Linked DNA regions of Alligator mississippiensis. The protein of the gene in region 1 interacts with the protein of each later gene in a pairwise test. Links are inferred from orthologs where the notes say so. Each region holds a gene or a part of one and is shown on either strand. Other genes may lie near its edges.

The links. The genes of interacting proteins can lie anywhere in the genome.
Region 2: the proteins of IGF1R (region 1) and KCNIP3 interact in binary tests that used the Homo sapiens proteins (3 or more experiments, as listed by UniProt). The two-hybrid records come from large-scale screens. The link is inferred for Alligator mississippiensis from reciprocal best matches to the Homo sapiens genes IGF1R and KCNIP3.
Region 3: the proteins of IGF1R (region 1) and YWHAB interact in a two-hybrid assay, tested with the Homo sapiens proteins (2 studies listed by IntAct). The link is inferred for Alligator mississippiensis from reciprocal best matches to the Homo sapiens genes IGF1R and YWHAB.

Annotation. Positions count from the first base shown.
Region 1 is NC_081834.1:8,251,400-8,261,219, reverse strand, and holds the start of IGF1R (insulin-like growth factor 1 receptor), read right to left. Parts: upstream 4,264-9,820; 5' UTR 3,582-4,263; coding exon 3,488-3,581; intron 1-3,487. UniProt on the Homo sapiens protein: Receptor tyrosine kinase which mediates actions of insulin-like growth factor 1 (IGF1). Binds IGF1 with high affinity and IGF2 and insulin (INS) with a lower affinity. The activated IGF1R is involved in cell growth and survival control.
Region 2 is NC_081830.1:11,262,341-11,272,665, forward strand, and holds the start of KCNIP3 (calsenilin), read right to left. Parts: upstream 4,365-10,325; 5' UTR 4,029-4,364; coding exon 4,014-4,028; intron 1-4,013. UniProt on the Homo sapiens protein: Calcium-dependent transcriptional repressor that binds to the DRE element of genes including PDYN and FOS. Affinity for DNA is reduced upon binding to calcium and enhanced by binding to magnesium. Seems to be involved in nociception.
Region 3 is NC_081832.1:16,777,843-16,788,691, reverse strand, and holds the start of YWHAB (14-3-3 protein beta/alpha), read right to left. Parts: upstream 4,365-10,849; 5' UTR 4,350-4,364; coding exon 4,190-4,349; intron 1-4,189. UniProt on the Homo sapiens protein: Adapter protein implicated in the regulation of a large spectrum of both general and specialized signaling pathways. Binds to a large number of partners, usually by recognition of a phosphoserine or phosphothreonine motif.

The DNA of each region.
Region 1 (9,820 bases):
CACAAAACCCTTCATTCTGAAACCCTTCATACTGTATATTTGCCATCTAAATTGCCTGGATAGTTATGTATGCACATCTATATTCTCTACCAAGCATTTAGAAGACAGTGATGTTAAACATATAAATGTGCGTAGTACAATAGTTACATTCATAAGGATTTTTACTACGCAGCCCGAGTTATGGATCCAAAGACAAAAGGATGTACCGCTATGAATTAACATTTGGAACATAAAGCATAGCTCGGATATGTAAGGTAATGCTCAAAAAAAGATAAAACGGATGCACTGGTATAGTAATAGGTCCACAGTAGCATCAGACCAGATATTGTGTTAAAGGTATTTTTGTTCTGGGCCTTTTAACTCACCCGCTTCCATCTTTCTCCCTTTTTCAGTTAACATTAGGTGAGAAAAGGAAAACTGAGTCTCAGCATGCTTGCCACAGGGACATTCAGGGAAATTCTAAATGTAGGCTGCATTTTAAACTCACCTTTTACGTAATGGGGTTCTCCCCTGACCTGCAGATATCTTACAGTTGACCATACCTACATTCTTTTTCCAAATGAAATTGTGGTGGGTTGTTGTTTGGTTTGGTTGGTTTGTTTTGTTTTGTTTTTTTGGGGGGGGGGGGCTTGCGAGGGGGGGAGAGGGTTATTTTGGGTTTATGTTTAAACCCTGGTTCATTCTGAATATTTTTCTCAATCTTTGTTATTGATTAGAACCTTCCCTTTTACATTACCTGCATTTTAAACATGCTTCGATCTTTGGATCTCAGATAGATTTTTCTTAATCTAAAATCTTTCTTCCTCCCTGTTGTAATTCCTTTGTATTCCTATTTAGGAATGCCTTGCTTGTTTGACCGAAAATGGAAGTGCCTTTTGGCTGTGACACATTATAGAAGAAAAACAAATAAAAATTAAGATTAATCTTCCTTCCACAATTGTGGGGAGAGGGAAGAATATGAAGTGATGCAAAACATCTGCTTGGGAGATCATTTTTCCCCCTAACAGCAAAATTCTTTCTGTAATAACTCGCAAAAACACAGACTATTAACATTGTGAACTGCAGACAGGATTTGATTAGAGGCACTGTTCAGCTCAGAGAAGTTCCTCGGTGTATCTGGTCAAGTTTAAAATTAAATACCCAGGTACTCCACAAACAATAAAAGCTATTCCTTGTGCAAACATTTTATAGGACCAAATGCTGAACCCTACAATGTTACTAGTGCTTGATTTTAAAAGAATGGCTATGAGGAGCAAGAGCCCTATTTGAAGATGCTATTCATAAGTTGTTAAAAAAATAATTTAAACCTGGCCATTTAAAAATACACTGGACCTGGTCTCTCAAGTTCTTTTTCATTTCCTTTACACTAGTCTGTCTTTCTTTTTTGTAAGCCTTTTCCTGAAGACAAGCACTGGCTTTCAGTTTTTAAACCTAAGGATCTCTCCAAGGCAGCTCTAGCCAAAAAGGTCCTGCCCCTCCAAGACAGAAGGCGCCTCTCCAGCCCTGCCAGAGCACACAAGGCAAAACTGTGCCCTAATTTTCAAAGAGTTAATTGGCAAGCACTGTGCAAAGACAAGCAGTCTTACTCAACATGCCTACCAGACTCCATCGACCCCAGCCTTCCTCAAACCATTTCTACAACTCCTCTACCAGCCAGTGCATCCAGAGCACTTCATTCTCTTCTCCAGCCTAAAACCAATTCATTAGCAAACTTCCAGCCTCAAAATTGTTCCCTTCTCCTGCTGAAAGATCAAACCTGCTCTCCCTCTCCTGCCCCCCCCCTTTCCAGAAATAAAGACAAATTACTGCTCACTAGTTAGGTTTTTACATCCCTAAATGCAAGGAAATATCCTATTCCTGAGCAGAGACTACAAGGCAAAACAGAGAGAGGCCAAATGATGTGACCAGAAAAAAAAGCCCTTTTAACATCATCCCTTCATGCCATTGCCCCCCACCCACCTTCAAAAATTGAGGGGAGACTAAAGCTGAATGCAAACAACCCTAGAGTCACAGGATCCCCCCTGGCCACGAGGAAACCCGCTCAGCCCCAGGTGCCTGTTCATGGCTGCAATCTCACCCCCCCACCTCCGAAAGGGAGCGGGCAATCACCAGCATCACAGGTTTGCAGGGTGCAAAAAGCCGAATCGTGACATTGGAGACTCTAAAACAGCAGAGTCCGAAGAGATGGAGAGCAGCGAGAACCCGGACATCTTTGTGCAGCAGAAACTGGAGCGGGTTTGCACAACCACCTCCCCCCCTCCAACACTGAACTTCCATGCACGCCCCCCACTCCTGGGAGCCCTCTAATACACAACTTCCTTGCAGACACACACACACGCGAACCACGTTTCCCCTCGAAGGCACAACTTCCATGCACACACGTTTCCCCTCCAATGCATAAGTCCCTTTGCATTCACACACACACACAAACAAATGGACCATGTCTCCCCCCAATGCAGGATTTACACACACACACACACACACACACCTTCCCCTCTAACGCATAAGCCCTTTGCATGCACACACACAAATGGACCATGTCTCCCCACCAATGCAGGATTTACACACACACACACATACACGTGTTCCTTCTCCAATGCAGACCGACCCTGCACGCACACATTTCCTCTCCAATGCACAAGTCCCTTGCATACACACAAATGAACCCCGTCCCCCCCTCCAAAGCAGGATTTCCATGCACATGTGCGTGTGTGCGTGCAGGGTCGGTCTGCATTGGAGAGGTGGGACACACATTTCCCCTCCAACGCACACACAAAATGAACCCCGTCTCCCCCTCCAACGCAGGATTTCCACACACACACACACACACACACACACACACACACACACACGTCCCCTCGCTCCAATGCAGACCCACCCTACACATACACTTCCCCTCCCAACGCACAAGTCCCTTGCATACACACACAAATTAACCCCGTCTCTCCCTCCCACACACACACACACACGTGTCCCCCGCTCCAATGCACACACACACACACACATGTACGTATCCAGAACCCAACACCCTGCCTTGCTCTCTCCTCCTCTAGCTCTGCCCAGTCATCAACACCTCTTCCAGCCTCTCCCCACCCTGAGTCGGATCCATGCTGGAAGTGCCATCCCATTAGTCTCCCCACCCTCTCCCGGACAACAACCTATGACTGCTGCACCCCCCCCCAAAAAAAAAAAATAATAATAATAATAATAAACCAAAAAAAACCCAAGGGGGATAAAACACACACATGCAAAGCCGAGAGCAAGAGAGGAGGGCGGCAGCGGCAGCAGCGCCCCGTGCTCCTCCAATTCCTGCGGGCGATGCAGCGCGGAGGCTGCCCCCGGAGTTTCTCGCGGCTTCACGAGGCTCGCAGGGACAGCTGGGGAGGGGAGAGGCCGGGGGGGCTTTTCTCCAAGGGTGGAGCAGGGCCAGGAGGTGCAAAGACAACAACACAACGCCACACCACACCCGCCCGCGGTCCGTACTCACTCTCTCCACTGGCCGGGCAGAGGCAGAGCGCGGCGCAGCCCAGCAGCAGCCCCCAGAGCAAGGCGAGGGACCCCGGTGCGGCGCCAGGCTTCATTCCTTTTCCTTTGCGACGGACAAAACCCCCCGTTCCCAGAAACAAAACAAAAACAAACAAACGGTGGGGAGAGGGGGGGAGGAAAAAAAAAAAAACACTTAAAAAATAAATATATATTTAAAAAAAAAAAAAGCCCCAAAATGAGGGGGAGGGGAGGAAAGACAACCCTTCCCCTCCAACCAAAAAAAAACAAAAACCAAAAAGCTTCCCCAATAAATAAGCCGACACGCGGCGGATCAGGTCAGCGCGGCGGGCGGGGAGCCCCGGCGCCCGGCTGCGAGCGGGAGGCGGCGCGGGGCATCCTCAGCCTCCATTTTCACCCCGCTCCTCCTCCAAAAAATAACAACAACAACAAAAAAATCAATCAAGGGTGGTGCCCCTCCCCCGCACAATTATTCTTCAATTAAATGAAAAAACAACAACAAAAAAAAAGAAGACGAAGAGCCGGGCCCCGGGGGACGATGAATGGAGGGCTGCTGCTGCCCCCCTCCTCCGCGTCGTCCTCGCGCCCTGCCCGCGCACAAAGCGGCTCCGCGCGCACAGGATCACCCCCTGAGGGGAGGAGGGCGCTGAAATGGCGGGAGGCCTCCGCCGTCCTCCTGCTGCTCCCGTAAACAACAGCCTCGGCCTCGCGCTGCTGCCGCCGCCGCACGGGGACCCGGCTGGCGGGCGCGCACGCACGCGCTGCCTCCCTCCCTCCGCCTCCGCTGCCGCCGCCTCCGCCTCCGCCTCCTCCCGCGGCTCCTCGCGGCGCCGGGCAAAAGGCGGCGGTTGGAAGCGCGGAGCGGAGCCGCCCCCGCGCGGGGGGAGGGGCCGCGCCGCGCCGCGCCGCGCCGCCCGCCGACACGGGCAGGTAGGTGAGGGGAGGCTTCATCCAAGGGGGCTGAGCACTGAGGAGCCAGGGGCTTCATCCAGCTCATCCAAGGGAACGAAGCCCTGACTGAGAGATCAGGGGCCGTGTATGCTAGCCCTGGGTTCGTCCTGCTTGGATGAAATAAGAGACATGGCACCTAATATCTTCATGCGTAGCCCTTGGTTTTTTGCCCCTTTGTGTGAGCTGAATGAAATAGTATAGGGCATACATCCGATTTCATTCAGGTTGCCCAAAGGGGCAGAAAACCAAGGGATAAGTACGGAGATATCAGGGGCCGTATGTCCTGTTTCATCCGACTCATACAAAGGGGTGAAAAGCCAAGGGCTGAACACAGGATATATGGCCCCTGATATCTCCATTTCATCCAGCTCGTACATTTAGCCTGGGGCTAAACACTCAGATATCATGGGGTATAAATCCTATTTCAAACAACTCTTCCAGGCGGGTTGGGCAGGAAGAACCAGGAGCTAAGCACTGAGATATCATGGGCCATATACAGGTTTCCCTCGCTTTATGCGGTGCACGCGTCCCTGGAAAACGGCGCGTAACTCCAATTCGCACAAAGGCAGCCCACTTTACCATGTAACAAATAGGGGTACGCTCCAAGACCTCGACTGTACTGCCCCCAGACCTGTTTCTACCACTTTTACAAGACAGTTTTGGGAATCGCCAACAGCACAAGCACAGGGCACTGTCATAATGGGAATGGCAACTACAGAAACAGTGTTGCAGACAATGAACGAGTTGCACAGATCCACGCGAGCTTCCACCACGCTGATTGTGTAAGAGGGAATTTACCTTGCACATAACAAGGTTTTGGTATGAAAGAGTCATCGCATAAGAGCAAATTTGCACATACAAAACCTGCACAAAGCGAGGGAAACCTGTATCCTGTTTCATACAACTCTTACAAGGGGCTGGGCATTAAGTACCAAGGGCTAAGCACTGAGATACCATGGGCCATAAATCCTATTTTATCCAGGAATGCTTTCCATGCAGGGAAGGCGCAGCATTTAGAAGACATTTTTCTCTCCCCAAGGGTGGCCATCGTAGAGGACAGTCCGGTTGTCCTCTATTGATATGAAACCCGACGCCTTTATGTCCTCTATTTTTATAGAGGACATAAAGGGGTTGGGTTTCGTATCGATAGAAGGCAGGGGAGCAGAAAATGGGAATGTCCTCTATGATGGCCACCCTACTGTCCACCCAACACTGTCTCCACCCTGAAACTAGCTCACAATCCACAACTGTTCCTATACTTTACCCTTTTAGCAGATTTTGCTCATTGCATTTCCCTACCCTTGTAGCTCATAGGTCGGACAACCTGTTGTCCCAATACTAAAACATTTGAACATACGGCTTAATTAGGGTGGCCATCATAGAGGGCATTCCAGTTTTCCACTAGTCTGTCCTCTATTGATACAAAACCTGACCCCTTTATGTCCTCTATTTGAAGAGAAAAACAGAGGATGTAAAGGCATCCAGTTTTGTATCAGTAGAGGACAACCAGACTGTCCTCTATGATGGCCAACCTAGGCTTAATACCAACCAAAAGGAATAAACACCGGCAACCTCATTGTTTTGCCTGACGGACTCTTACCATAACAATTACCTGATCACTTCCAAAACATCCCTTCTTTTCAATTTTTGGTGTATCTGATTAATGCACAAAATCTTTCATACTGAAACACTGTATATTTGCTATCTAAATTGCCTGGATAGTTATGCATGCACATCTATATTCTCTACCAAGCATTTAGAAGACATTGATGTTAAAAATATAAATGTGCGTAGTACAGTAGTTACATTCATAAGGATTTTTACTACACAGCCTGAGTTATGGATCCAAAGACATAAGGTTGTACCGCTGTGAATTAACATTTGGAACATAAAGTATAGCTTGGGTATGTAAGGTACTGCTCAAAAAAAAAGATAAAACGGATGCACTGGTATAGTAATAGGTCCACAGTAGCATCAGACCAGACATCGTGTTAATGGTATTTTTGTTCTGGGCCTTTTAACTCACCCACTTCCATCTTTCTCCCTTTTTTAGTTAACATTAGGTAAGGAAAGGAAAACTGAGTCTCAGCATGCTTGCCACAAGGAAATTCAGGGAACTTCTAAATTTAGGCTGCATTTTAAACTCACCTCTCATATAAGGGGATCTCCCCTGACCTGCAGATATCTCATTTGACCATAGCTACATTCTCAGGTTTTCCCAATGATTGTGTTTTTGGGGGTGGTTTTTTCATTTTGGTTTTAATGTTTAAACCCTGGGAAAGTGAAGCTGACTTGTCTCCCCACTCTTCCTTTTGATAGGCCTTGATCTCCCAGTGCTCAAGCATTTCTTTTGGAGAAGCAAGGATTTCTTACGTTGATATCTTTTATTGGACTGACTGGCTGTGTCTACACAAGATGCTGACTGCGCCGTCATTACTGGGCAGTCATTTAGTAGTTGCATACACAAGTACTAAGTGACTGTGCAGTAACCAGAGTGACTGCACAGTAGCATCCCCTAATGGCTTTTAGGCGATGCTGACTGCACAGTAGCTCGTTACTCCTGTGTAGCAGCATCACATCACGCTTCGTGCCACACAGTGCTACTGTGCAGTAGCTCATTATTAGCTTTTGGTAGCAGTCAGTAGCTTTTGAAGGTAAGACTTCCTTGGGTCTCTGAATATAGGAACCAAGGCACAGCATAGGAGAGGGGCTGAGAGAAATTCTCAGGTGTAGCAGACACACCATGAGCAAAAGAGAAGCAGCTGAGTATGGGGAGATCAAGGGCACTGGGGGGATGGCTTAGTCTTACCTTCCTTGTGTGAACTTACCTGGCAGGGGAAATACCATGAAAGTGGCTCTCTGCAGAGGTCGGATAACCTTGAACACAGTGTATAGTAAAGGGTGGAGGTCTGTTCAATTCAGTGCAGACTAGCCCCCCTCCAAGAATCTACTATAGCCTCCCAATGAGAGGATCTTCACTACATGCCTATTTTACGGAGATGAGGGATTTCTCCCTAGCTTGCTCCTTTGGCCTGTTGCCTAAGGGCATGTGAGACTTGGGGTATCCAAACCCCAAGACCTCTGGGCTTCAGCCTGCACGTACAATGCCTGCAATGGATTTGGGAGTATCTAAAGCCCCAGGCTGAAGAATCTGGGAGAAAAGACACTTTCCAATGGTAGCACCACATAGATTTGAACGATTGAGCTCTGCTCAGTCAGTGGATTTTGGAACAGATTTGGCTAAGTTGGTCTGAGACAGGAAATTAAAAAAAAAAAAGTGAACTTGCTGTGCCTAGCTTCCTATATTCAGAGATATGAGGAAGCAAGTTTTACATTTAAAATCTTTTCTTATCCCAACTACAGAGTTGGTCCAATAGAAGATATCACCCTAAGAAATTCACACACAGAGAGGCCAGTGGGTCTCAGCCAGGGTACCAAGAGATCCTGTCAAGGGTGATGCAGGGTGTCACGCAGTGTTAGCACTGTGAGGGGTGCAAACACAATTCACAAGAGAAACACAAGAGATTTCAAATAAAGATCCATGACGTTAGACACATGCTGACCTGTTGTGGGCTTTCTGAGCTCTGTTCAATGGAAGAATTGCTCGGATATTTGTTCTGATATTAAAAGAAAAATGGGTGAAAATTAAATGCTGGTCGGGGCAGGGGGGATCTATCAAGGTGGAGGCTTGAGCCTAGAATGGTTGAGAGCCACTGCCTTACACTGTTTGGGAACATTGGTTTCAGTGAGGGAGATCTGGAAGAAAAGGTGAAAGGGATGTTTCAGTTGTCTAATGGAAGCCAAGAACGTGAAAATAAAATATGAAGTCCTTCATCCAAAGAAAAAAATCATTACAAAAATTATCACAAATAAAGCAATCCACGTCCCATGCAGGACAATCAGATGTATGTTCTACTCTACTTTCTCCCTTGCTCTGTATCCTACACCCTTCTTGCAAGTGCTTCCCCAGTACACAAAATGCTGACAAAATTGAAGAGCAGTTAAAAAAAAATCCTATTGGAAATACAAACAACACCCTCAGTTTCTGGGCAGCTCTAAATCTCATCCCTCAAAAACTTTCTTTTGATTTCTTGCAGCTGCTGCAAACAAAAAATTCGCACATGGATTTCTTTAATTGCTAGAAGAGTCATTATAAGAAGGAACAGGCTGCATTCTGAAGAGAGAAATATATAGCAGTGAACTTTATATGCTTCTTTTACTCTTTATATGCTTCCTTTATATGCTTCCTTTACTCTTCCTTTACTCTTTTAATATGTTTCCTTTACTCTTTAGTTAAATGCTATTCTGTTACTTGCACAATGGTAGATGTTGAAAATGGAATGTAAAAAGGTGAGCTCAAAGCATGCTGCTTGTGGGGCTACAGGGTGAGAAAAAGGAAGATTTGGAGAGGTGTGTGTGCAAGCTGAATGTTCTGCACTGGAGAGCAGAAACCAAGAAAGAATGCATCTCTGTAGTGGTATTCCACATTCATAAGCTAAAAATTTAAATTAAATTAAAATATGAAGAGCAATTGAATGATCTGTGCTTGTTAACAGAACCAGAAAAAGGGTATTACATGGGATGGGCCTCCCATTGATAACGGGAGAGATTCTCCGTGAGTTCAAATGGCAAAGGGTTTTGTTTTAGGAAGAGAAGAGCATAGGCTGTATCCTGTTAATCCACTGATCCTCCTAGCAGCCATGCTGTGCAGATATTGATCTGTATTGATCCCAGATTTGTTGCAATACTTTGGCATGATACAAATGTTGGTGATGTCTAGTAAGACAGAAACCTCAGAGGTCTTTGAGACTTAGGTATAACCTTGTATAAAAAAAGCTACATTAAGAAAAAGTAATGTCATAGAGTCATAGACAATGAGGGTTGGAAGGGACCTCAGGAGGTCATCTAATCCAACCCCCTGCTCAACGCAGGACCAGCTCCAACTACATCATCCCAGCCCAGTCAATATCAGTGTTAACTTTGCACATCTACCATGTCTGCATGTTTTATGATGACACAGTTTTAATTATATTATTTTACCATTTACCTTACATACATGTAGTCTGGTTTGGTTCTTGCATGCTTATGCCATTTTTTTCATTGTCATCCTGGTCCAGGATATCTTTATGGCATTAAGTAGTGGAAATTGGAAGTCTAGATTCATTACGAAATTTTGAAAATCTCCAGCATAGATGCCTTAGGCTCGATCCTGTATCACTGAAGTTAATGGGAGATCTTTTGATTTCAGTAGCAGCAGGGCAGGCTCTTGTTATGCTCACGATCAGTGTTGCCAGATATATAATAATTCTCATATATGTATGGTGAATTCAGCCACTGTACCATGTATGATAGATAATTTAAAGTG
Region 2 (10,325 bases), on another chromosome or scaffold:
GGGAGAAGATCCCGGTCAGTGCAGTGAACATGAGAAGCAGCTACGTATCATTTGTGCTTTGGTGAAAGGGATGTGAGAGGAAGGAATAAAACCCACTTTGCGCTGAAATAACCTGGTCTGAGAGTTTAAGGAAGCTCTTCAGTGTGTTCACAAAGAGGACATTAGCTCTCTTGTACAGATGAGACACCGTGACAGAGCTGGGAAAACTGTCCAGGTCTCTCATGTACCAAATGAGGACTGTATCCTCTTCTATTTAGTGTGACATAAAGATGCTTAATAGTTGGTACTGCCCTAGAGCCAGGGCCCACTCAGCCCCACTCAGGGTGAGGAATCTGCTTCTCCTGGACTCCTGTCAGCTGAAGTCCAACTGTGAGATCCCAGTGGAGCTCAGGAGCATCTCAGGTTATTAACTGTGATCCCATCATTGGATTCATTCAGTCGTAATACTCTAAAGATGAACAAAGGACAAAAGACAAGAAGGGACCTCCTGACTCACTAAATGCAGCCCCTGCCATCACAGGCAGTCACATCACATATAACTCATCAGACCAAGTTGATTGTCTGCACTGTTACTCCTATTAACGGTTGGTACCAGACCCTCATTTCATTGATGGCTAGAAATTTGCTTCTAGTTTAACCCTGAATTTATTCAAATTTCCAGCCTTTTGTTCTTGCACCAACATTTCACCAGCTCTTCTCTCTCCCTGGGGTGTCTCCCCACCTGGATGTATTTAGAGACAGCATCTGTATTCCCCTCTCAGTCTTTGCCTTGTTGCAGTAAGCAAGCCAAGCTCTTTCAGTCTCCTTCCAGAGAACAGGGCTTCCTGCCTCACTTCTCTACACCCAGTGCAGTTTGAGTTCCTCTCTCTTGAACATGGGTGCCCAGAATTGCACCCAGTCTCTCAGGTGTATCTCACCAGTTCAATGTGCCCCATCTCTGCTGGAAATGCCACACCTGACGCATCCCAGGGTCAAAGTGCTCCCGACACAGAGGATGAAACCTTCAGGGAAGGACCAGCAGCCCCTAAACAAAATCCCCAGTCTGCCAATCAGCTCTCCTGTTCTCCCTATCCCCATATCTCCATGGCCCAGGGTTTTCTCAAAGACACCAGGTTAGTTCAATGCATCTACCTCCAGTCAAACCATGTTGCATTTGTCCTTTTCCCATTTGCTTCTCAGCATTTTTTCAGTCCTTCCGTTTTGTTCTAAAACCTTGAGAGCAACTGAGACCAGAACAACTGCTCTGTAGTTTCCAGGACCACTTTCCCCCACTATCCCTTTTTTAAAGAGAGGTGCTACATTTGCCATTAACCAGGCATCTCACCCTGATGTGACAGAATTTGTGAGAAACCTTGATTTCATGTGCCAGTGGGATCAAGAATATCCAGCCACCCTCTAACATGAACACATAGAGCACCTTGGTTTTCGCTTCCTCCACAGATGTGGCAGCCTCCATTGCTATACACTTTGCCCCCCCTGCGCCATGCTAGAATAGGCTCCTTACTGAAAACACTTCATTTAGCTGTGGGGCCAATGCCAACATGTCGTTCACCTCCACTCCATCCTCACTGCATAGCAGTGCAGCTTCTTTTATAGCTCCCATTTTACTGAAGCAATTGAAGAACCTTCTTCTATCTGTTTAGCCTAACTCGACTTACAGTTCCCCCATTATCCTGACACTTCCAGACCTCCAAGACATACCTTTCAGACTAGATCAGTCAGAACAGATCAAATAGTTTTTGTGCCTCTGACTTAAGGAAATACTAGACCTCCTCCAGATATAAGTTCCTAACTTCTTCACCCCAGTAGACTTGAATAACTTGTTCTCTTAATTTCTCAAAGTTCATCCTTTTCTCATTGTCAGCTTTAATGACTGATTTTTTAAAAATCTTTCCATTTCCATTAAACTAAATTAACTCATGATCACTCAATCCAGGCTTCTTGATTTCTCCCCAGCTAGCTCTTTTCTAAAATATTAAACCAACTACGTTTAAAATAGCTTCTGGGTTCAGCAATGGGTGAAGAAATCTGTTATCTGTCCCACCCAAGAATAACCAGGCTCAGCCATTTTTAGTTCATTTGTTCTCTGATCTATATCTGGGAAGTTAAAGCCTCCCAAATTGATGCAATTCCTGGTAGCATTTCTCTCTCTGATGACAATGCAGAGGACTCTATCCACATCCAGAGCCAACCTTGGGGGTCTATAGCATAGCCTTGGTACTATACCACAAGAACATCTTGTACAAGCCTTCCCCAAAGCAATTTTATACCCAGGCCAACTCTATAATCCACGGTATCACTTCTGACCACTTCACAGTCCATCCCATTGCTGAAGTGCAGTGACAACCCCCCAGCTTTACTACTCTTACTGTTTTCACTCTTACAGCCTCCACCCTTCACTATCTGTGTCCCAGTCATGAGGGCCATGATTCTGGCACGATAACTAGCTCCATGATGTGAAGCACTAGCTCTGATTCTTCCATCTCGCTGCCGTCTCCTTGCATTCACCCACAGCCATCTCTAGCCTCACCCACTTTCCTAGACAATTAGGTACTGTTCTTTAACTGTACTGTCCATTCGACTGCAATATTCTTCAGTCTTAGTATCCAGCCTCCTTGCCCTTCAGACCCTTGTTTACCCGAGTGGCCTCTTCCTAGTTATTAACAACAGGTCTGGAAATGACCCCAGTCTCTCTCAACCTTTCCTTCTCATTTTTGGTTTAACGCTCTTCTCCTCAGCTATGCCACCCTTAATCCCACCATGTACTAAGGTGGATCTATCCATTGAGACTATTTTCCAGGGCTTGAATATCCCAAAAGCTGCCTCATAGCCCCAATCCTTTGGCTGCCTGAAGATCTTCATCACTTGGAACACCTTTGTCCTCCCTCTAGAGACCAGATGAATCCCACCAGATGGTCCCCCAGAGCATCTTCCCCAGGGCCTGCGTCCATCTCATCGGGCCTCTGGCAGCACCGCTTATCCCAATGTGAAGGACAATCCGTGGATTCTTGTCAGCTGCAGGTCTATGGTTAAGAGGTTTGCTCCAGGCAGGCAGCATGGCCTTGCAGTCTCTGGGGTTGGCCCGTTGAAACAACTCCCATAGGCCTGTCTCTTCTGCCACACACTCTCCTCCATCTGTTAGCAGATTGCCCTGTTTTCTTTCAGTCCTCCACATAGCACCCTTTCCTCCTTGGGTTTTGATCCCTGGGGACCTCCTTCTCTTCTTCTCTTACTGCCTGCTTCTCCTGGTGAAGAACTGCTCTCACATGGAGCAAGAGCCCTTCTGCATGCAGCATCCCCTGCTATCCTGCATCCACCACAGCACCCATGAAAACATTTCCCTAGAGAATAGGCGCAAAGAGTTGATGCCTAGTCTTCATCATTCATGGTTTGGGACTGATCATCATAGTCACATGTGGTTTCCACTCTCATTGGACAACTGAAATGTGCCCCACTGGAAGATGAAAAGCTCCATGCTTTCCTGTGACAATTTTCTTTGTAAAATCCACCCCAAAGTGCCCAGATCTGCAGGCACTGTCATGAACCAACCGGTTCTTGCCTGGATCCTCACACATACTATATCTCATAACTTGACATCCTGTCATGATGTGCCCCATATAGCCACAAAGATATTCAGCGCCAGTAATTTAAGTATCCAGCCACCTTCACCCAAGGCAAAACTCCCAATGATTTTCCATGAGAGTTTTGGGTGCATCTTATGGGCCATTGTGGCATTTGAGTTACAGAGGGCAGAACTGGGCCCGGGGGTCGAATGCTACAGAATTAGGCTCCAGCACTGCTCACAGGTTGGGAAAAAAAGGGTGATATGACAGCCGTAGCAGACCAGCCCCTTTACTGCTTGGCTCAGCACCTCCTGCTGGATGTCCTGAAGGCCAAGAAGGCTCCTTCCGAATGGACTAATGCCTGTTCAAGCAGTGCACAGGTCGGCAGGCATTGACCTTACCGCCTTCTCTCCCCCACCAAACCCCAGAGGAGCTTTTATTTTTACTTACCGCATCTTCAAACATCTCCTGACACGGGGGAGCCCCAACAGGCGACTATCGACCGACAAGCCACGGAGCCTGGACTCGCAGGAGGAAAGGGAAGGGGAAGGGGAGGTGGGCCGAGGTCACAGACACGGCGCTTTGCTCCAGCCGAAGCGGTTCAAAGTGCGGTGGAGGCTGGCATGAGATTGAGGGTGATTCCCATCTGGTTAATCTCCCCGGCTCTGCCTGTCCCTGGCAAGATGCAGAAGGGGAGAGGCTGGCGGCTGGTTTTGTCCTTGTTCAAACATCCCTGACAAAGGAAGCATCCCTATGCCAAGTTTACCTTTCAGGGCCATTATTCCCTCTCCGTGACATGCAACCCGCCAGCCTACGGCTGCTGGTTGCCATGGCAACCCAACCCATCGCCTCCTCGGTTCCCCCCTTTTGCGCCGTGGCTCTCGCTCTCACTCTGTATTTAAGGAAGCCAATTAACCAAAGATTCAAACCTCTTAAAAAAGTGGAGCCGTCAGCTCCGGAGCATCCAGGGGGAAACTTAAAGGGGAAGCTCCCTGCTGCCAGGCAATGGAGGGAACGAACTCCAGGCTCTGCAGACAGGAGAGCCCTGCAGATGCATCTCCCCACTCCACAGCAAGCCAGGAGATTCGGGCACCATGACATGTGAGATCCCAGTCAATCTAATTAAGGTCATAGTATCTGCAGACCCTGAGCCCCTCACCCTCTGCTGCATTTAGCCACACAGCGTCTCTGGGAGGCTATCGTACCGAGAGGCATTGAAGCAAAGCAGCTTGCCCAGAAGAAGTTGGTGGCTGAACTGGACACCAATTGCAGATCTTGGCCAATGCCGTAACCACTAGCCTATCCTTCTCCCCAGACATTCATTTTTGCTTGCATCCTGGGAGATCCCAGCAGTTAGGTCTGTGGGATCTGCATGCTGGGAGACCTGGGCCAGCAGATGCATACCAGGTGGCAGGAGATCTCTACAAACCGATGTCTTTGCTCTGCCATTAAGAACCAGTTGTTTACCAGCTCTTAAGAGATCACTAGATGCAGATTCATACTTTCTGCATCTGATGGACAACCTGAGAGCAGATCCCTATGCCGTGTATTTTTCCCTGTGTGGAGAAATCCCTTATTACAGCTTCGAACCCTGAAAGTAGTTCTCTGTTAGTGCTGATTCCTAGGAAGAGATCCCTATTTAATCTCCTTTGAAACAGCCCTTCTGAAGAACAGATCTCTGTTTTTTAGCTTCAGCAAAGAAAGATCTGCACCCAGCGACTCGCTAGGTAATGCACTATGTATTCACACCAGTCCTGCCGACGGCCTAATTATAATCAAACCAACATGTCCTGGGTAGAGTCTCAATAACAGGCGGTTTAAAGAGCCCAGCCAGAATCACACACCATTAGGCACTGGGGTGGATGCAATCTGCTCTTTGCTAAAGAAAATTTCATTTGAAATTCTGTGCAGCATTGCTGCGCCCTGACATCAAAGGCATGACTACAATGGACACGGCAGCATGGGCTATCTTTGGCAATCCAGGACAGTTTCATTGGAAGAACAACCCAGCACTGAAGACACTGCTGACCCCATAACAGTCCTTCTAGAGGGCCTTGCACACTGAGAGATTGAAGCGCCATGATCATTAATCCTCTTTTGGGCACAGGGAGATGAAGGGACTCCACCCAGGCCAGTGAGTCTGTCCCTAGGGGAAATGAGCATAAGAACCAGGTGTCCTGGCTCCCAGCCCTGTGTTGCAGCCGCTACATATACATCTGTCTATTCCAAAGGCCCGCTTGCAGGAGGCTTCCCTCCATGCTTCATCACCCGAGTGACACGATCATCATTTCTGCCCTTAAACACATCAGAGAGCTTCTCTGAAGTCTCACACTTATGTTACTAGCGACTGGAAATACTGTGGGCCCTTCCCACTGGCTCTTACTCATGTTTGGTTTCTGGAGCTTTTTATTCCAGTGGGCAAGAATACATCCTCTGCTGAGGTTTTGGCTTTTTGAGGCCTAGATGGAACCTGGCAAAACAAGAGCAGAGGAGAAAATATGAGCCCAGCACGTGCTGAGTTCAGAAACTAGCAAAGGACCGTGTGAACACGGGCATAGCATGCTCTTCAAGTTCCCGTGTGCTGTCATGTGAAGTTGCAGTCATGTACATGTAAGCAAAAAGCCATTGTGTGCACAGCAGTCTGTGCCTGGAAACATGGGTATGTCTCTTTATGCCCACATCCATATCTGAGAGCATGAATGGACAGACGTTTATCCATGCTCATGTGCACAGACTCTTGGGGTGCATCCATACACTATTTGTGTGCACATACATGTACGCAGACACCCTACTCACACTCAGATACTCATGCATGTGTTAGCTCAGATGAGATAGTTACCAGGGGAGAGATGTGGATGGCCTAATGTACAGGAGTCAACTTTGCCTTTAATAATATATGGCACATTATCGGAGATCTTTGGAGCTCTGGGCTCACTTCCAGTTGAAGTCATTTATAAATGCCAGTTTGAGAAGCCAGGACTCTTGCCTGTTAAGGAGTCTATTGCTATAACCACCCCCCCACAACTTCCCCATGTGTGAGGTTTATTTAGCCGGATTGCTAATTAGACCCACCAGATACAGTTGCATTTGGCTCCAATTCTGCAGGCATCAGTCTCCAATTGCAAATGGGGAAAGCCTTTTAACGGCTTGGGAGGGACAGAAATGTGGTTTTCTTTGTGTCTAATGATGCGTGTGAATGTTATTAATGTGTCATGGGAAGGGCCAGATCCACCCATGGTGTAATGAGCAAGTACAAGTATGACTACACTGATTTACACCAGAAGATGGGTTGGTCCAGGATTACAAGGAGAGGTGAGCGTTCATTAGGGAAAAGCAGGAAGGAGCAAGCGGACTTTGATGTGATACCTGGAGGCGGGCTGGGTGCAGCTGCCTGTGCATCTAGGGCGCTTGTACACATTTTGCATTGTTTAGATACAAACAGCGCCAAAGAGTGAAACAGTTTCTAAGACTGCAGGAACACCAGGTTGGGGAGGAAGAAGAGGGGGAAATAATTGCCCTTCTTACTAGAGGAGAATTTATTTGCCTCCTCTGAGAGTTAGGCTGCACTGTGGTAGGAGAAATGCAGCCAACAGAGCAGAGCCAGCATGTTGGTTTGACTGGAGTTGCTGCAGATTTGCACTCTGGAAATCTCATTGAGGCCTAGAGCCATTATTCATAAAGTTACTGCAGCCTCTCTCCAATGCCTGGATTACTTCTATTAATGACACTCATGTGGACTGAGAACTAGTCCAGTGCTTCCCTCCAGTTGCTCACAGCCCTCCCCTCGCACATAGGTACTGGACACAAAAATCTGCAACAAAACAGGCTGCCTGCCGCAGGGCCCATCACATACACATCACTGCGCTCTCTCAGCCCTTTATGGGAACCATATGACATACTCCCAGCTGACTAGCCCTGGGCCCTGATGCCCTTAAAGGGGTAGAGCACCCTGTTGCAGCCCTTTAGATGTTGCAGTCATTTTTCACATGGGGAAACTGAGGCACAGAAAGCAAGCAGCTCATCCCAGGGACCGCTCAGGACAGCAGGATGCTGCGTGGTGCTGCACACTTCCCACTGTAGCCAAAACTCAGCAGCTTGTAGCTTCCTTCTGTATAGGGGACAAATTCATCCAGCCCGCTCAGTACCTCTACAGATTTGGCGGTGATACAGAAGGCCTCTGCCACCACTGATCAGTCAAAGTGAATGTCCTCCCCGTGAACTGCATGACATAGGAAGGCAGAAACAATCCCCCCCATCCCCTTCCATTGCTCTAATCCAGTTTAATCTCAAATAGATTAGATTAACCCCACTCTAGCTTTTTAAATCCCACGCTGTGCCTTGTTAGCCCCTACCCCATCTCCTCCCACAGCACGTGGCAAAGACCCTCTTGCCCATGCTTACATAAGCCCAGCAAAGCTAAGCATCATTATCTGCCCCACGTGCAGAGCAGTCCTTTGCATTCTAAGCGTGTTTGCTACTAAACCCTGTGCAAATATCCAGAGCTAGGGCTGGACCAGCTGCCTCGGCTCTGCACCATGAATCACCAGAATTGAATGCTGTAATGCCCCCAGGTTAGAAAGAAGGTGGTGGTGTGGGGTAGACTTGCTGTATATTATGCTAGCGCTCATCTACCCCAACTGAGATCAGGGCCTTGTCATGCTAGGAGCTATGCATTCACAAAGAAGAGATAGCTCTTGGCTCTAAGGGCTTAAGTAGACAGGACAGACAAAGGGAAGTGGCAGCCCTATGGGCTAGAAAATTTGAACCCACTTGCCTCTGCTACCTCTGAGTGAAGCATTGATGGGAATGACTCTAGACAGCCCCATCAAAGCAATGCCTGATCCTTCAGGAGGCTGCAGAGAAAATGGATGTGCTGGAGGGGACAGCTGAATGCCAACTGTCCCTGAGTTTGAGCTCTGCAGCATTCCTGGGACCATCAGTTTGGGTCCAGCGGCACGGACTCAGCCTGTCACTTGGGTGAAACAGTTAAATGGAGCTCCAGGTCACTTGAGTCAGACTCTGACAGCCTGACAAGCCATGCATGTGCTGACAAAGAGCACAAAAGAGAGACTCGGGGTGACTGCCCATCAGGGGGACCGAGCTGCTGACTCTGCTGGTGTGTGTTTGTGTGTGTGTGTTAGTCTGCATACAGGCACTGGCCTCATCATTTGTACCAGTTTCTGTCAGCGTGTGTGGATAGGGCACACACAAACATGTGTGTATCAGTGCATGGGGGTGTACCAATTGGCACATGCTTGCATGCCAATGTGTCCATGTGTGCTCCTGCATGTTTCAGTGAGCATGTGTGTCTGCCCTTTCACTGAGAGTTTAGAAACTCTTCAAAGTGGCCTTTTGAGATCCCATGACACTGCTTAAAAATGTGAGACTTAATCCCATCATCTCTTCACCCCATGATGACCTCGGTCACTTTGCCTCCAGACATGGTAACACGCCTATTTCATAAAATTCCCTAGCATGCACAGTGCTAGCAGACACTCCATTATTATGGATTACAAATCATTACCAGCTCTGATCCTCTTATGCCCTTGCTGGGTTTTGTTTTTATTCAGTCTTGAATAGATTTTTTTTTTGGTGCAGTCACATCGGGATTGTTAGGTGGATTTTGGGGGTTTTTTGGGTTTTTTTTGGAACCACGTTAGACTTTTAACCCATTTCTCCAGCTCCCTCCAGGAGCTGATTTACTCACCAGCTGGAGTTAAAACAGGGATCTAAACCCTTTCACGACCACAATCCAACGGCCCTGGCTCAGGGAGATTGATTAACAACTGAGTAGGGAGTTCAAACCCTGGTCTGTAATACGTTCCTGGGATCTAGAAATGCAATTCTCTTAAGAAAATGCTGTGCCCCTAGAAATCTAGTTTAAATAAACTCATCTATTGAGAGCCTTAAATTAACCAGAGTCCTGGCAGACTGCTCTGCTGCCGGGAATATTGACAGATTATGATGCTGCCTGCCATACCACTGCTGATTGCCACATGCCCAGTTATACTCCCTGCCAGAGTGTAGCCCCATTAAATTTATCCTACAAAGAACTCCTCTGTCACATTAACAGACCCTGCTAGCAACTGATGATTGCAGCAAAATCCAGCTGTTTAAGGTGGCAGAACCTTACTACACATCCTGGCTTCACAGAGTAGGCTCCAAGCTACTTCAGCATTTGCTTGCATTCACTTAACTAAAAATTGAGTAAGAACAGAAGAGACAAAGGAAGGAGTAGGTGAGAGAGGATTATAGGTGAGAACAGTTGTAATAAGATGGCTAAAGATGGCTTATGGTGCATTTAGTTGTTTTATGCCAGTTCGAGCTGGTTTAGGATACACTATAGCTTAAAAAGAGAATACAAATAAGCATCTGAATACCAGTTAGTAGGAACATCTCTATATCTGTTATCTTTATTTAGGAAGCTGCTGAAATTAGGCCAGGTAACAGAGTATAACAATCTAGGTTCATCTGAGAAACCTGGCTCTTCAGCTTTAAACTATGGTTCTTGCTGAAGAGCCCATTTGCAAATGAACTGAGATAAGCAAGTTTGAAGAAGACACCAAACTGGGGGGAGTAGTGGATACGCTGGAGGGTAAGGCTAGAGACCTCAACAAATTAAAGGACTGGACAAAAAGAAATATCATGAGGTTCTATAAGGACAAGTGCAAAGTCTTGCACTTAGGATGGAACAATCCCATGCACCAAGGGAAGTTTAGGTTGGATAGTAGGAAAAACTTTCTCACTAGGAGAGTAGTGAAG
Region 3 (10,849 bases), on another chromosome or scaffold:
TCAAAGGCTGCAGCCAGCCAAATCAGTCTTGAAAGAACTCTAACACAATCCCTTCAAATACAACAAAATACATGATTTCATATATCAACCTGTTCCCCTCACAGATCACTCCTGTATGCCCTGCTCATCATGACCTCACTACAAGAAGTCCCAGAGGAGAGGGTGCACTTTCAAACTCAGAAGAAAGCCAGTTCTTATGCCCTTCTGTAACAGGAACAATGTTGCTACAATCTAAGAATCTGAAACACTGGACAGCTCCTGTTGTCATCCTACACCTTTATTGGACACATTGAAGTCACATGTAATACTTTTGTACATGATTAAAGAGCTGAATGAAGCTGTAATACCTGGAAACAAAAGATGTTTTACACTGCTCTGCCAGGAACATTACTCAGGTATTTCTCTACATAAGTTTGTCTTCGAAGTGTCAAGCCTGATGCTTACACTAATGCTATAAAAGCAGGGGTTTTCAACCTTTTTTAATAAGTGTACCCCTGGCAGCCCCCTTTTTAGTAAGTGTACCCTGGGGGAGGGTGGAAGTCAGCAGCCAGATGCAGAGCAGGGGAGGTATCCCCGGTTGACAACCCCTGCTGTAAAGTATGGAGGACTGCAATGGGGCTGACCTTTTTGGCACGCATGCCACAAATTACCCGCGCACCCTCCATAAGAGCATCTCTGATCCCCTTCCCCTGGGCCAAGCAGATGCTCTGCTTTTTGCTCCTTGCTCTAGCTTCTCCATTTCTTAAGTCACAGGACAGTGCCCTAACTACCAGGCTATTAGCTATACCAGGGAGGTATAGCTCCTTCCTATAGAAACTGTCCCACTTCACAGACCATTTTACATGATAGCTCTTGTACCAGAACCAGAACCCAAGCAGGCACACCAACCATTAGGTTAGCAAACCATGCTTAATCTTGTTTACTAAGCTAACTTTGATTGTGGATCTAGCACTGAGACACGTGCTCAAAACAAACTTGTTGCTAAAAGATGTTTCCTGAAAGAGAGTGCTTTTGCGCACACAGTTTCATAGTTGTCCAGTTCTGTGCCAAGGAGCACTTCCAAACCAGAAGCATTTAGCACTTTAAAGTGTCAAACTGTTAGTCTTTGTATTGAACCTCTCTCTCTCCAAGACAGATGATGTATGGACAAGAACACTGCAATTTAACTTTTAATGCTTCATTAATGGCTCCATCTCTCTCAGGATGGATCTCCTCTAAGGACACACAGTAGTTGGTTTATATTACACACTAGCTTTTGCAAACTATAACGTACCAACTGATTGGGGGGGGGGGGTAATTCATAATACAAAGGGAACTTTCTACTAGGAAGTGCGTTAGCTTAATATGAGAGACCAGTCAAATGGCAGCAGCTTTTGATTACTATTACCACCACATGAACCAACTCAATTTTTACCCCAGGCTCTGTATTCCAAGCCAATAAGCCATCCTTTGCTTTCCAGACAGCTCCCAAATTACCGATTTATATACTCCACCTAGTAAGTACTTGCTCTCAAGTGACCTTCTGCCCAATCTGCAGGGTACCACATGATGTTAATATCACAGTGCTTTTTATACTACATGAAAGCCAACCATAAGCCAGTGGACCCGCATAGTTGTGAGATGTTCTTATTTCCTAAAAAAGCTGTATAGCCACTAGAAACATTTTGACTGTAGTTGCTCACAGCTTACCACCATTATCATGTGATCTGGATGTTTTGTTTTACAGAAATACTCCACATACTGAAATTTAAGGGCAGCTTGCTGAGGCAATTGTCATTTCACCATTAAATTGATAGTGTTACATTTGATCTGTATTTTTCCAGCAGTGCTTTAATTTGTGAAACAAGTCACTTTTACAGAGCTGAGTTTAGGAACTGCGCAGTCCTATTAGTACGATGCTTACTGATATATTTATCTTTAAATGCAAGTCCATGGCAGTTACGGAGTTCACTTAAAGACATATTGGAAGAAGCAAAGAGGGAATTCAGCAGGCATCAAAAGCCACTGGGTAAAAGTGCAGGTACAGAAAACAGCTTTGGCTGAGCAGTCTATCTGTCAAATATGAGCACAAAATATACAGACACGTTTTCATCATATCTCTTTCCTTAGCTATTTATCCGACTAAATTATGCGCCTGTCCTAAATACAGCCTTAAGCTGCTTACTAAAGTCTGAGGTCCAATTAGAACTGCATTTGTCTATTTTTGCCAAAAATTAAGGACAGTGTTTGAGCCTCAAGTTATGCCTTGATCTGACTAGTCAAGTAGCTAATATCTGCCTTGTCAGGTTTGCTACTGAACTACGAACTACTGTTTAGTAAAATTAACAAGATTCAAATGCTACAAACTTCTTCCAATAAAGGCAGACATTTCTCCACACCAAAACGCTCATAACCTGGCAGTGAGCCTACTAGCACTTTCACAAGAGTCAAACAGAAACGGAATACGGTCAGAATCTTATTCTCCATTGCTTACCTTGTTGGAAGCCTGGAGAAAGGTTTTTTGCAGAGCTATGCTGGCTTGTACTCCATTGTTCACCAGAAGAGAAAAATACAAGGAAAGAAGTGACATTTGAAAAAACTAAAGCAGCATCTATAACTTGTCCCTCTCATAAAGAAACTGAAAGCAATGCTCCAAGTTTACAATGGATTAGTGTAGTGGTCTTTCAAGCTTTTGGCCCCAAGAGCCAGTTGAGCAGCAAGGGTCCAGTCTACAGGCTGAAGCAGACTCTTTGGTACCAGGGTTGGGCCCTGGGGCTGGCACCACTCCCTCCCACCCCCATCAGCTGAGACTGAGTACCCAATCCAGTATGCAAGGCCCAGGGCTCCCCCCAGGGGTTGGATAACATAGTGCCAGATCTGGCCTGCGGGCCAGGGGTTCAGCATCCCTGCATTAGCGTGCCATAGCCTGGAACGCACATCTTTGGGAGGCCCATAGTTGAAACTGTTTGGAGGCTACAAACGCAAGTCATCTAGTGGGAATCATCTGCAGCAATTATCAACATATACCAGTAACTGGAGTTGAAGACTGGCAGGGACTGTTTAATACAGCACTGATGGTCATGCCATGTATGTGGGTAGTTACAGCCATGGAAGACATAAGATCAAGAGCAACATTTGCTAGTTCTAAGCAGAAACTGCTCACTAGAGGAGTGGCCCTAGATTGGATTTCTTAAAATAACATGGTGTCTGACCAAAGGTAAAATATGTTTGTAAAATAGGTCTGTAAATTGTATTTATAGTGGCCTTGGTTGCTTTAGATAGGAAGAAAAGTTAAAAGCACAGGAGGACAAGGCCAGCTTAAAAAGGGCACCTAACTTCAGAGTATACTCACAGAACTGCAAGAAAAGAGGTGGAGAAATGAAATTAAAGTGTTAGTGACTGATAAGGAGTAAAGATGGGTAGACATTCCATTCCCCAAAACATTACGTTGAAATAAACCACTTTTTAAGCTTGAACTACCTGGCAGCGAACATGCCAGCATTCTGGCATTGCTACTTCCAACTCTCCATCATCTATTTAAGTCCAAGTCAACACAGATCAGAAGTAACTGCATTTAAACACCATAGAAAGCAAATGAAAAACTGACACTGAAGAGATCTGACTTATGTAATATACTTAACTGGGAAGACAATACTAATAAATTTCCATCAGTCTGAAATCTGCTGTTCTCAAGGACCTTTTTTAAATTGTATTTCTGTAGAGCAAGCACTAGAACTAATTAGTCATGCACCTCTCTATTAGAGAAAGAAAGTAATGTAATTATTGGTTTAAAAACTTTAACACACAGGTCACTAAGGCAACAGGCAGAAGAGTGGATTAATACCTTAACCTTTCCCCTCTGGAGAAGTTCAGTTAAATCCACCCTTGGTCAAGTGACAAAATTGTATACCTTTGAGAACAAGGCCACCAGTTTGCAACTGGAACAAGCAACAGGCCTATACTGGAGGAGGCTGCATACTAAAAACCAACATCATTTGGCTATCTCACATTGGATTTTAGCTAGGGACTTTGTTAATATGGCAAAACACCCAAACAGAAAAAAAATCTATATATCAAGCAAATGGTACTTATGCAGCTTCAAAGCTCAGTTCTACAAGTCAGAAACTTAAATGGGGATTCAGATTACCAAGACAGCCATCTATAAAACAGAAAGGAACAAAAGAGGTTCCTTCAGAGGACAGTCACATACCTGTCAACTGTTTTACAGTATCAGTATATAATGTGTATAATATACCAGGTCTCCTCAACCTCTGGGTCCAGAGGACAAATGCAGCCCACAGAGCCTTGGAATCTAGTCTGCAAGGGTCCCCATGAGTCAGGAAATTTGGCTGTGGAGAAATGATAGCCATTAATATGGCCACCTTCCCCCTCCGCCGAACTCCAAGCCTTGCACATCCAGTTAAAGCTGGGCTGCACCCCTCTGCCTCTTCCCATGGGGATGGGTTGAAGTCATGCCATGACTCTTCCCCCCCACCCCCCAAGGCCAAACCAAGCCCCCTTCCCCATCCTGCAGTGCCAGGATGGGGATGGATTGGTTCCCACTCTCCTCCACGTGGCCAGATGATGCTCACCATGCCTGCCAGACTGGAATCACCAACCAGATCCAGCCTCCAGGGGAAAAAAAGGTTGAGCCTCACTGGCAAACACTATGCCACAGGCATCACTGCTTATGGGTTCTCTATTATAGAACTGGAATGGCTTTGTTTCTCAGCACCTTCCAAATAAAACACAAGGAGTCCTGTTTGCACCCTCCCCCCACTTAAAAAAAAGTAGTGGGCCTCTTGCTTAGCCCCAAGTTGTGCTCTTTATCTTGACTTAGGGAATTTAGGAGTGATGAAGGAGAGCACTGGAAACTAAATAGATTATTCATCAACATTTCTCATTCATTTCCTTTCCACAAAAATACCCTATGCATCACTTAAAGTTAATGGAAATAGAATGCTTCCCCCAAATAGCACATGTATTGCTAAAAATGACTTCCCAGGCAAATATATGTGCCCTGTAAGGTTTATATAAGCATTGAAAGCTCACCTGCCTTCTACTACTACAAGTCAGGATTACGCTACGAGTAATAAAGTGTACTCTGCATATCCTCTGGCTTTAAAAGAGGCAGCACAGCACCAGGCACAGCCCTCCTCCTTGTCTGTGTGTCATGAAGCCTCACTAGCCTCCCAAGTATGTCAGACTTGTTTTTTTTCCAACAAACCTTCCACTTTGGCCTTCAACCCAAATGCTGCCCCATACATTATCTGAAGAGAAAAGCCAGTAAAGCACATCTAATGAACTTTTCCTAGATAGCCACCACCCTCCCCTACATCATCTTTCCCCATCTTTGACACCTCTTATAATGCTCTTTGTCATGTAGGTTCCTGGGAGCAGGGCCATTCTGTTCTGTTGAAGTCAATATGCACATATATGCATAAAGACAGCTGTAGGTGGAGACAGGAATATAGCTCTTGCATATAGTACACTTAATATGGTTACACTTTTTTGTTCCAGCTAGCATAATTGTTTTTGGCTAGCATCCAGATGGAAGTAGCGAGTTTTCCAAAAACAAAAACACTTTTCCCTCAGGTGTAAAATTTATGCCAAAACAAAACATTCATAGCAGAGGTAAATCACCTTCAGCAACAATAAAGTGAGAGCATTTATATTATGAGGTGGGATAAAACTGTGGCAATGAGAAACCACAACATTATAGGCCTTTAGTTTTATTATAATGTGCTATTATGGCACTAGGTGAATAAAAGTACTAGTTTTTTGTTGCTTCATAATTCAAATCTGTGCTTGTGCTACAACTCAGTTACATCCCAGTTGATTTGCACACATCATAAAAGCCATGTTCTTGTCCAAATCTTCTTAAAAAACCCTCAGCCCTAGAAAAGCAAGGTTACTACAGATCAGAACATAGTATATTGATACAGCTGTGTTAGAAGGATTGCAATGGGCTCCAAAAGTTCTTTATATTTCACCCACTGGTACTTAACACAAGATCTTTAATAAAGATAAAACTTAAAATGATTATACGGTAAGGATGCTTTCTTTGCAATCCTATTTGTAAGAGGCCCACAACCTTGGGCTGCAAGCAGTGAACAAAACACTGTTTCCCCTATCCTGCACCTCTAGATTATAGGGATAAAGTGCATCCTAAACTGACAAGGATACATTTTTAATACACTCTGCTTTGAAGGAAAAAAAAATTTAAGAAGCAACAAAAAAGATACTGAAATCTTCTAACTAAAGGCCACTGCACATGTAAGATTTCTGACTTAGGTAACTGAACCTCTCCTAAAGCTGTAAGATTTTACAAGCTAACACATTTCCAGGCTATTTAAGAGAATTTAGCTTTAAAAGCATAACACAACACTCATTTTGCTCCTCTACTACTGTGTTACTATAACTTCACTAAATGGAAGCACTTATCCACTTGCTGGGAACCATTACTTAGATGAGACTCTGCTGGCAGTGTATCTGCAAGAACACTGGGATGCTACTGGCTACAAATGCTTCCAAGCAGGTGCTGGGGATCGTTATGAGCTCTAGACACTATTTAGCATTGGGCCCTAGGCTAAAAGCACCTTTGTCTGTCTGGCAGCCTCCCCAAATCCACCTCTGCTTTAAACGGAAAGGAAAAAAAAGAGAAACCTTTCCCCCTCTCCTGTATTTGTATCTCACTCTATACAGCCTTCAAGACAGGCACCCGCACCCCCTTCCCCTCCTGGCTGGAGATCTCTCTAGAATATCCTCCCTGAAAGAGACAGAAGCAGCCATGGAGAGCGCCCCACCCCCGGCACTGGCAGAGGCCGCGAGGGGACCTCAGCCCAGGAAGCCATTGGAGGCACGTCCCAAAGCTGTGCCCGGGGAGGCCTGGGCGAGGGCAGGGCTGGCGCTGCGCCCGGCCCAGGAGACCGGGCCCGGCCCCGCCCCGCCTGCACAGGTGAGCGCGGGCCGGAGCCCGGGGAAGTGACTCAGGCGGGCGGGGCGGGGCGCGGCGAGGCTGGCGCTCCCGCGGGAGGCGGCGCTCCCAGCTCCCGCCCGGCGGCGCAGCGCAGCGCCTCGCACTGTTACCTCTCAGCGGCCTGAGGCCTCCGCCCTTCCCTCCCGGGCGCGGCGCAGGCCGCGAGCCCGCCCGGCGGCACAATCACCCCCGGGCGTAGGTCAGCCCCGGCCCAGCCCCGGGGCCCGCCCGGCAATCCCGCTGCGGCCTCCACCGTGCCCCACCCAGCTGCCGGCGCAGGGCTCTCACCTGGCGGCGGCGGCTCACACCGGGGACGCGGGGCCAGGCGGGTCGGAAGGCTCCGAGCGCGGCAGCCGCTGGGCTCCCTCACACGCACACACGCCCTGCGGCTCCAGCACCCACTTCCGGCGCCCGCGCCACGCCCCTTCCGGTGCCCGCGAGTCCCCACCCCTTACCCCCCTCCCCATTGGGCCATCGGGGCCGCGGTGCGAGGCGGGGGGGGAGGGAAACCTCACGGCTGTCATAGCAACTGGGGAAAGGGGAGGGGGCGAAAGGAGAGGAGAGGCCTGGCCCCGCCCCCCCGCCCTTTCTTCTTGACTCCGCCCCCTCGCGCGAGCGGCCTCCCTCAGCACTGCCCCGCCCCCCACACCTGGCCGCCGCCACCTGTGGGCGGGGCCTCCCCGGGCACCGCCCCCCACCGCAGGCGGCCCTGCAGCGCTTGGCAGCCGTGGGGCGTGTCCTGCCTCCCCCGCCCCCGCCCTGTGGCGGCTGTGGATCAGACCTGGGAGCACGCGGTGCAGGACGGGGTAGGGGAGTTCTCCTCATATGCAACAACACTCGTTTTTTTCTCTCGTGAAAAAACAAATTAGGCCCAGGCTCTGCAGTTTGACGGAAGTAAAAACCAACAGGCTTCCCCAGAACGAGCTCAGGACAGTCCGCGGGGCTGGGAAATAGCAGCTTCCTCCCCAGGAGCAGGGACCCGAGCCTGCAGCCAAGGCTGGGCCAGGGGGGAGCACCACTGGAGCAGGGGTTTGGCAGGGATGCGGTAGACAGGGAGGAGTGAAGTGAAGGGTCTTGGTCCACGCCGCCTCACTACTGTGTGGTTTTGATGCCTGTTTCGTCATTTCAAAGAGAGAGAGTTTCTTTGGTCGTTTTGTTTTGAAGCGCTGTTCTGTTTCGTTTCGTCAAAACTTTTGCTGTTTCGATGCGTTTCGAAGGGACAGTGTTTCGTTTAATAGTTTCATTGCAAAGCACGGTTCCGTTTTGTCGAAACTGTTTTGACAGGTTTCGACATTTTGAAGGGACAGTTTTTCGTTTCAAAGCGCTGTCCCATTTTGTTTCATCAAAACCATTTTGCTGTTTCAACGCATTTTGACATTTCAAAGGGACAGTGTTTTGATTTGTTTTGTTTTGGAAGCGCTGTCCCATTTCGTTTTGTCAAAACTGTTTTGAGGTTTCGATGCACTTCTATGTTTTGCCCATAGGCTATAATGGGGAATTATGAAAATCCCTAAATTCTGTCATTTCTTTCCTGATTCGGATGAAAATTGTAGGGGTGGTAGCCCCTTCTGAGGGTATGAAGCCTGCCACGTTTCAAGGAGCTAGGTGTAAGGGTTTCTGAGAAACCACCTCAAACTGTTCAAAGCAAAACTCATGACACTTGCCGACAGTGGTAGCCTCCTCCCATCTCGCACCCCTGGGAGGGCTGCGGGGCTGTGCTGGACTCCTCCCAGGGGTGCAGGCTTGCCCACAGATTTGCGCCCTGGATGAAAGGAGGCTGCCACTGCTGCCTGGGACTGGCCCTGAAGCCAAGTCAGCCCAGCTTCAAAACTCAAAACATTTTGAAACTTCTGAAATGTTTCAAGTGCCCTCGTTTCATTTTAATTTTGCTGTTTCAGAGCCTTTTGTTTCATTTTAATTTAGCTGTTTTGAGCTCAAAATGGCTTCGAAATGAAACACCTGGCAAAATTTTGCATAGCCTTACTCACTAGCACTGTTGGTTTTAAACTTCAGGTGGCAAGAATCAAAGAGGGGTACGAACGCACTAGTGCACCCCTGGATCTGCCCCTGCACAGGCCCACAATCCAGCCTGCGGTGCTCCCCCAAGGTCTGGAAATTTGGCAGCAGGTGTTCAAAAAATCCGGGAGATATCCCTCCACCTGTTGCTAACTGGGAGGGTCTGACAAACTGTATTCTTCTCCACCTGCCCTGTTTCTTATTATCCTTTCTCTATTACTTGCCGCTGCTGGAGACAGACATGACTAGCCAGTGTTAAGAGACAGGCTACTGGGCTAGCTGAAGCTTTGGTCGACCCAGGGTGGCAGGTCTGTTCTTATGTAATGCAGAGAGCCTGTGGAAGTGATCAAATTTATGGCGAAAAGGCCAGACATGGGCACAGCCCAAGAGGCTGCAGCACTCTTGCATTCTGGAAAGTTTGAGGTGTCACTACAAAAAAATAAATAAATAAATAAATAAATAAATAAATCAGTGCAATTCCACTGAGAAATGACATCCTGCTGTCTCCATGAAGGATCATCACTTTTTCCTACATCTGGGTATGGCAGCGTCTTGCAGCAATATGGTATCTGGAGCGTACTATATCAAAAGTGAATCATCTAGTTTTCAGTCATCATGCAGCTTTAGTTTGGAATATCATGCCAAATCAAAAGTGTTATTTTTCTGTTTTGAAACTCTTTTGTTTCACATGAGATACCATAATGTAGCATGAGTTATCATATTAAACTGACATGGTACCATGAAAGCAGTGCTACAGTTCTCTCTCACACAGTGTTGCCAAAATTATGGATACAGGCAGTCCTTGGACTAGACAAGATGCGGTTTTCAGGAACCAATTGTAAGTTGAAATGTTGCAACTTGGAACCAATTTTCTCGTAAGAAACAATGTTATAAATGAGAGATTGGTTCCTGAACCAAGGCCCCATACCCTATTTTCACCAAAAATACCTGAGAATATTGTACCTGATCAATTATTCATGAGTAATATAGCTACATTAATATATTTATATTGTAAGTAGCAATCACTGATTTGGCAGGACTTCTTTGAGGTGACTTTGCTGGACTTTTTGAAGGGTTCTTGGCTGGAGTCTTCTCAGGAGTCTTGGCTGCAGGTTTTTCTGGAGTCTTGTCTGCTTTCTGAAAGACAGTGTCCAAGGAAGTTTGGACAGATGTTCTCCAGGGATTTGAGTGACGCAGCGAATTTGTTTGCTGGCATGGCGTGGTGTTGCATTGGATCAGGCATTGTAAAGTTGAAACTGATGTCATAAAGTTGAAACAGGGTGTCAATTTATAAACGTTGTAAGTGCGAAATGTTGTAAGTTGAGGACTGCCTGTATTCACATTTTATTAATGGATGCATAAACCTCCCACAAAATTTAGAGCTGTAGGATCATCCTCAATAATTTCTCACTGCCTTCCATCTAAATATTTCAGAAGGGTAGTCCCTGCCATAGTTGGCCCTGGAAATTTCAGAGCATGACATGGTCATAGTTCACTTATATTTAGGGACTGGATTAGGTCAGTTCACTGTGGCTCTGTTAACTAGTGTATTGTCATTATGGTTGTCCTGTTCCCCTTCAAAATCTAATGTTTTCATCATTATCATCATGGCCCAGCTTCTTCAGTATGATAAATAAGTGGAAATCAGATTAACAGAGAACTAGAGATACTTCCACAGTATGAGGAAGATTTCTATTGAGTTTCATATAGCAGCACTCCAGGAAAAAGAACATGTCTCGCACCACCCAGCTAGTTGTGTATTCGTTTCCTGAATAATAACATTAGCGTCTTGATCCTTTCTTCTTTTGTTACATCATCTGTAAGAATGAAAAAGTTCTCTTCTTTCATCTTCAAGTAACAACTCTCTCAACAAAT